Xenopus tropicalis: one gene and its partner. The protein of the gene in region 2 purifies or fractionates together with the protein of the main gene of each other region. This does not show direct contact. Links are inferred from orthologs where the notes say so. Each region holds a gene or a part of one and is shown on either strand. Other genes may lie near its edges. The genes, in order: grb2 and erbb3.

Region 1 (3,923 bases), on a different chromosome or scaffold from region 2:
ACAAGCACTTTAGCTGGATGCTGCTGCCTGACCGTGTGGGGTTAAGTGCTTTATATAAATAAGCCACACTGCACATTCAATATATTCTCACATACATCTAATCCACAAATAAAGTGTTTTAAAGGGCCCGTTTCAACAGCACAACTAGATGTTATGGGGCCCAAAGCCGATTAGCTACCCTTTATCAGCAGATTCCAACCCAATATGATAGGTTCCGAGCCATGTATTTGATCGCTGAGCATGCAGTGATCAGGCCTATATATTCCAAATGCAATCAAGCCTGCACCTCTAGAGTCCATAACAGGTGAATAGTGTTATTCCAAGAAATTTATAACCCTGATTGTGGCGTGTATGGGAGTGCAAGACAGCATAAAAGATAACAATGGGTTAACCACATACTCATAAGAGGAAATGCAAATAACCAAGACTATAGCTGTGTTACAATATAACGAAGTGAACAAAGTACAAATTCATCAAGGAAGAACTAGTATGAAGAAGGAAACAAATAATGGCCACCAGGTGGCGATGTTGCCACCGAAACCTATGGGGGGAAAAGGCTCGCACGAACTAAGTTCAATGGCAGCCCCCATCCTGCTAAATAAAGCAGAGGGAAAAAGATGTTCCGGGTACATAATTAAGCCAGTAAACAGATAATAAATATAAATAATAAATGCCGCATGTTGCAGGCATCTGTCAGAAACCAGCAGGGATGCGCCGAATCCAGTATTTGGCCAAGATTCAGCCGAATCCACAGTCCTGGCTGAACGGAATCCGAAAAATCACCAGACTTTTTGTCATGCAAACACGGAAGTTAAACATTTTTTGCCACGCGTTGTGTGCAATGCTAATTAGGAATCGGTCAAATGCTTTATATAGGATTTGGGGGTTCGCCAGATTCGGTGCATCCCTAGAAACCAGCATGTGAATTATACCCCAATCTCACCACACTGCCCCAGATTTGATTTCCTACAGTAAGTAATTAACACAAGATAAATATATACATACACTATAAATATACATGCAGCTGCGCCTCTAGCCCAGATTTTCTTTCTCCCACTTGCAACAGCAGGCGTCCCCTCAGCCCTCACATACAGTCTATATCCCCCCCCCCCCCCAGGTTTGGTATATATCCTCCAATCCCCCTTCTGCTCCTATAGCCCAGCAGGTCTGTATATCCTACTCAGAGTATAGGTCTTACACCCAGTGGCAATTCCCATTCACTTCTACTGGGGGTGAATTATAACATCTAAATGAGGGCAATTTGTCCCCCCAGAACAGACTCTATTCTTCCTTTCCCACCTTGCCCTTAGTTGCCAAGTCTGTGTCCCCCCCTGCCCCTTGTCTGGAAGCCAGTATAATATTTGCCCTATTTTACCCATCATCATCCTCCTCTGACAGTTCACTTCTCCCCTTGCTTCACCCTCATTAATCTCAATTTCCAGTCTATTCAGCTACTCAACTGTCCCTGTTCTGCCCCTGGTTTCACCCCCCCAGCACATCTGCTCTCTCTCGCTGTGTTACCCCCACTATGGTATCCCATCAGCAGTCTCTTTTCCTTTGTCACAGCTGTCACACACTGTTCCCAAGACACAATGCTCACAGTCAGCTATCACTCAGCAAAGGTTAATTAAGCCAATGAGGAGTCTGGTAGGGATGCTAAAAGCCAATCATACTGTGTGGGCCCATCTGACCCCACCTGGCCCTATCCACATGCTAATGACTGTGACTGCATATATCATGGCTGCACAGAAACCAGTGTAGCCCGCAGCACCAGAGAGTGAGATGTCAGTCCCGGCAAACTATCATTTCTCCCATTACACAGGTCCCCTCCTAAGGCTTGTGGCCCTATAAATGAATGTACAAGTAGGAGGGCCCCAAGCTGTGTGATTTCCCTACCCACTTCCCTTCTGAGGAATCCTGATATAGATCTCCCCCCCATCAGTTCCCCTTGCATTCAGCCCATCTCAGCACTTCCCTCAGTCTCCCCAATTCCCCCCACTTCCCCTTTCTGCCTCTCTCCCCCCAGCAGTTCCCTTACCCACAGCCACTGGCTGCTCCCGACCCCTACCCACAGCCACTGGCTGCTCCCGACCCCTACCCACAGCCACTGGCTGCTCCCGACCCCTACCCACAGCCACTGGCTGCTCCCGACCCCTACCCACAGCCACTGGCTGCTCCCGACCCCTACCCACAGCAACTGGCTGCTCCCGACCCCTACCCACAGCCACTGGCTGCTCCCGACCCCTACCCACAGCCACTGGCTGCTCCCGACCCCTACCCACAGCCACTGGCTGCTCCCGACCCCTACCCACAGCCACTGGCTGCTCCCGACCCATACCCACAGCAACTGGCTGCTCCCGACCCCACACCCGGCAGCCCCTCATCAGCCTCCCCAACTCCCTCACCCACTCTCCTTCCCAACAACATCGCTATCGCTCTGCGCACCCCTTCAACGGGCGCCACTCCTGCTGCTGCTGCTGTTGTACTACAGCTCCCACTATCCCCCCTCCTCCCTGGCAGCCCATGGGACTTTCAACTCAACAACAGCCGGACACCCACCCACCGCTACATCGACTTCTACGACACGGCTGACACTCATCTCCCCACCTCTCGATAGAGCTTTTCAGAACCCTCACCGAATTCCGCGGAGCCGCTTCTCCTGTCTCTCTCCCTGGCCGCTTCCGCTCCGCCCCGGGGCAGATCCTCCCGCGATACTTCCGGGGCTGCGTGAGTCCCTGCGAACGGCGCATGACGTCATATGAGACGTGAAACGCAACGCACTTGAGGGGCGGGGCAGCCCATGTTTTGTCAATACGGCTTGAGCTTGGGACAATGACTGCGGTTATTTGGTTATCTATAGTCATGTGTCCAAATGGTCACCAAATATTCACAACTCTCCTCTTGGCTGTACACATCACTAATAAACCTGTAACTCTCCCCTTGGCTGTACACATCACTAATAAACCTGTAACTCTCCCCTTGGCTGTACACATCACTAATAAACCTGTAACTCTCCCCTTGGCTGTACACATCACTAATAAACCTGTAACTCTCCCCTTGGCTGTACACATCACTAATAAACCTGTAACTCTCCCCTTGGCTGTACACATCACTAATAAACCTGTAACTCTCCCCTTGGCTGTACACAGGAATTATGGTATTTTTCTCCAGAAAAGGTGGCAAGCCTACACAGAACCCTATCATGGTGACTTCTCCCTGTGTGTTTAATGGTGTCCTGTGTGAAACCCATCTATATCTTCCCACATTCCAGGGCCAGTTTAAGGTAGGGTTGCCACCTGTCCGGTTTTGATCCAGACAACCTGGTTTTGGGAAAGTCAAACCCTCCTGCATTGATTCAGTGATCGGGCAATTGTCATGACCCCGCCTCTCCCCCCACCCACTTTCTCAGCTGGCAGAGGTGGCAACCCTAGTTTATGGGTATGGCAGGGGCAGCAGAAGATGTTTTTGGTTGGGGGCCAGGAGAGGCCCCACTTGTGCCGCCCACCCCTCTGCCTCTGTTTAGCCACAACTTCCAAAACCAGGGGGGGTGAGGGTAATTCTCTCCCCCAGTTCCAACGCCTATGGTGAGGGCATTTGCGCCATTGGTCAGTTAAGACCCCCTCACAGCAGGGGGTGTAGATGTAAAATAACACATACTACATTGAGGAGCAACTGATAGTTGTCTTACTGGAAAAAAAAAATACAGCGACCCTTTAATACAGTTCCTCATGTTGTGGTGACCCCCCAACCATAAAATTATTCCTAAGAACATCAGAAATATGTGTTTTTCAATGGTCTTATGCGACCCCTGTAAAAGGGTTGTTTGACCCCCGAAGGGGTCCCGACCCACAGGTTGAGATACAGCACTAACGGGAGCTACTAACCCTCCTGCCACTTGGGTGTCACCATGTCATTATCACTCA
Region 2 (3,823 bases):
GGGCCACAGCCAATAAAGGCAGTCTGCTGTAACCTATTAGACACCTAAGAATTCTGTGCTAGTTTGTCTCTTACAGAGCTGTACTATCCAGGGAAGGGTACAAGCTGTAAAAATGGCCAGAACTCAGTCTTTCTATTAGCCATTTACTTTTTACTCTGTTTACATATTCCCAAGCTAATGTATATTACTTTACCTCATACATACTGTTGCTCCTTCATTATTTATATAATGAAAACAATTTACCAAAAGTACTTTTAGTATTATGTAAATAGTGATATTCTGAGGTAATTTACAGTTGGTTGGTTGCCCAGAGTCCATATACCCTAACGAGCAGGCAGTGGTTTAAATGAGAGTGTGAATGAGAGTAAATGAAATTAAAAATTGCAGCAGAACAAATGCATTTCATGTAATTGTAACATAATACTGGCTGATACAGTCTGTTTTCACATATGGATATTTTGGGTTTAAGATGACATTTGCCACTTTATGGCGTCAGGGATATCTTTCATTTCCATAAGGTTTTGGGCACATGCCATTTTTCTCAGCAAGAGTTCTGAGTAGAGGATTTCTGTGCTATACTCACCACTTTGACTGAGCCCTGGCATGATATACTCGCTGTCATCATCAGGGGTCCCAACAAGGAGGCTCTCCCTTTGGGATCGGTATGCACTGTCAAGGCGAGAGCGAGAAATGTGGCTCAGGCTCCCTCCGCCATAGGAATTATCCTCTATTGTCTCCAGGTCTGAAGAAGTACAACAGCCCTCTGATGACTCTGACACTGTTCGGCCAAGTGAGTCTTCTCTTCTGCGTGTCCCATGTCTTGGAATTGGTTCTGCAGAGGTCATTGTTCCCTGAAAACAGCCCACATGTTAGAAACCCCCCATCTACATCTTCCCAGATGTTCATTTTCACTCTTAACAGAAGGGTTAGTTAAGAGTAATGCAGGCAGAAAACCTTGCTGTCCCCTATATGTAATAAAAAGTACTAAGTTTTCCCAGCAGTGGTAACCCATAGCAACCAATAAGATGTTTGCTTTTAAATAGGTGACCAGTCAATGTTTCCTGCTGATTGGTTGCTATGGGTTACTGCTCCTGGGCAAACTTAGGGGCTGATTTACTAATCCACGAATCCGAATCCCAAATGGGAAAAAATCGTATTGGAAATTAACATTTTGCGACTTTTTCGTATTTTTTGCATTTTTTTTCGTAGCTGTTACGACTTGCACAAATTGTCGCTACTTTTTCGCAGCCGTTACGACTTGCGCAAATTGTCGCGACTTTTTCGTATTGAGTCGTAGTAAACGGCAGGCAAACCTTTCCGTTTTTTTCGCGACGGCTACGAAAAAGTCGCGACAATTCGCGCAAGTCGTAACGGCTACAAAAAAATTGCGATGGCGACGAAAAAATCGCAAAATACCTATCATTACAAAAAAAACGCATTCGGACGCTTTCGATCCATTCGTGGATTAGTAAATCAGCCCCTTAGTGTCTTTAATAACATAACCCCATATGAGTTTTGTTGTATTGCTATTTCCTAGAATGTATGTATTCTTTGTATTTTGGAGCATAAAAATGGGCTGTTAGCATATCTTGGTGTGTAATCTGTCAATCTGCTCAAGGGCTTTTGCTGTAGTGACAAATATATACAAAAATATAATAAATCCAAATATAGAAAATTAGGCACAAAATCTTTTCTATCTTTTTAGGCATAGCTGTCAGTACATTAATGTACACATTAAATAAACTTTATTGGGAAAGGAATAAAAATGATCTTAGTTAAGTTATTCTACATGCCGCCTTAAGTGGTCATTGCTATTCTTTTTTTTTACCCCAAATTTACCTTTCTTGAGGAGCTGCAAAGACTCTGGTTCATAGGCAGGTACCCAGCGATAGAGCTCAGTGCACTCTGACTCTGAAAGGAAAGCCAAGATTTAACTTACAGAAAAAACTTACCATTCCCCCATGTGCAACTTTATGACTGTGCTATTGCAACTGAAAGTGCTACGTATAAAAAAAGATATACATGCACTGCATGATGCCTGTATCCCTCCTTGCCCAAGCCTTTTTGATAGGCTCTGTTTTCCTTACCCTAGAGTAGTCAATTCTTTGTCGTGAGGCATATAGGGTAGTTGGAGTTTTAGGCTGCATTGCCATGTCTTCAGACTCAAGGTCAGTGTCCACGTCAGACTCCAGATCACTCACTTGTTTCTCAGACAGAGGTGGTGGATCCCCTGGGAGTGGGGACTGAAGTGCATCACTATTGCGCTGTTTGGAGAAGAAAAGAGATGTCATCAAGGTGCACAATCATCAAAATAACATTTTTTTTATATGTATTTTTTACATGTATTTGGTCTTTAAAAGTCATTTCTTTAACTTGCTTGGGTATCTGTCATGCTATATGGCTGAAATGTGGTTTTACTTTCATTACACCAGCGAATAAGTAAGAAAAAAAAGGAAAAGATCTGGAAGTCTCCAGGTTTCTATTATTTACACCAATAAAATTGTATAAGAAGCAGGTCATACTTAAATGGCAAAGATAAGAAAGTCAAAAATATGAAGAGCAAACTGTATCATAGCACTTGTGATTTGTATATGTAATCCAGCAATAATGGAATTTTGCACCCCTGAGGCAATAATAAATGATACCCAGTCAATAAGAGATTCATCTCACCGTAACAACCAGGTAGCGAGGTGGATCCCTAGCCATACGGGTGAATTCATTTCCGAGTTCTTTAAACGTAGGGCGAATATTTTCATCAATCATCCAGCCTAGAAAATAGAGAATGTAACAGAATCAAGTCAATCAGGCTCTTACAGTTTGCTGTTTAATAATAAAACAGTACTTTGTACTAAGCTGCATGAATCCACATTGATGGCAAAACAATACTGTTAGGTTTAAGGAATGTTTAAATCATTTTTAGCAGACTTAAGGTATGGTGATCAAAATTACGAAAAGATCCCTTATCCAGGATAACCCCAGGTCCCAATCATTCTGGATAATAGACCCTATACCTGGATATCTCCTACATGAAAGCCTCCGAGAGGTTCTAATGATCTCTATGTACTGCTAATGCCTAAGAGAGCCCAGATTAGCAACGAATACCTCTACTTACATTTCACCATTACCATGTAGACATCAATGGTGCATATTTGTGGTTGGGATAGTCGCTCCCCTTTCTCTAGGAGGTCAGGAACTTCTGACAAACGAATCCCTGTGTATGGTTCTGCACCGAATGTCATCATTTCCCATAGAGTAACACCTTTTTGAGGAACCAAAAATAAAGGCATTGCTGACTATTGTTAAGAGTAAAGGCAGGGCAGGTAATGATATATAGTTCATGACAGTGTGAAGCACAATAATGCCTTGGGTATCTGTTCCACGTACCATAGCTCCATACGTCACTCTGATGAGTGTACTTCCCAAAGTGTATACTTTCCAGAGCCATCCATTTCACGGGAGTCTGCATAGTACCAAAAAAGGTACATTAAAAAAAAAATAAAAACAAAAGTACAATTTTAATCAAATCTCAAAAATTTTTCTCAGTGAACTGGATAGTTTGATTTTTTTCAGAATTTGATTATAAATCAGTGTATGTAGAAGTAAAATAAACAGATACAGGGGTATGTACAGGCCCAGCCTGGGATTCAAAATAGGCCCTGGGATTATAATTACACAGAGACCTAAACAGCCCCCATGAGCCCAATAAATAGTGACTCTTACAGGAGAAGGCTCTGGCATTTGCCAGAATCCACAGATTACCAGTCCAGGCCTGTCCACAAAAAAAAATCCAAAAACCAAAGCAGGTAAATTCCCCTGACACATC

The links.
Region 1: the proteins of erbb3 (region 2) and grb2 purify together in Homo sapiens (affinity purification with mass spectrometry; 3 studies listed by BioGRID and IntAct, with this or other methods). This does not show direct contact. The link is inferred for Xenopus tropicalis from reciprocal best matches to the Homo sapiens genes ERBB3 and GRB2.

What each region holds. Positions count from the first base shown.
Region 1 is NC_030686.2:44,468,330-44,472,252, forward strand, and holds the start of grb2 (growth factor receptor-bound protein 2), read right to left. Parts: upstream 2,628-3,923; 5' UTR 2,608-2,627; intron 2,583-2,607; exon of another isoform or gene 2,560-2,582; intron 1-2,559. UniProt on the Homo sapiens protein: Non-enzymatic adapter protein that plays a pivotal role in precisely regulated signaling cascades from cell surface receptors to cellular responses, including signaling transduction and gene expression.
Region 2 is NC_030678.2:137,680,131-137,683,953, forward strand, and holds part of erbb3 (receptor tyrosine-protein kinase erbB-3), read right to left. Parts: intron 3,461-3,823; coding exon 3,385-3,460; intron 3,260-3,384; coding exon 3,113-3,259; intron 2,769-3,112; coding exon 2,671-2,768; intron 2,265-2,670; coding exon 2,088-2,264; intron 1,912-2,087; coding exon 1,840-1,911; intron 852-1,839; coding exon 584-851; intron 1-583. UniProt on the Homo sapiens protein: Tyrosine-protein kinase that plays an essential role as cell surface receptor for neuregulins.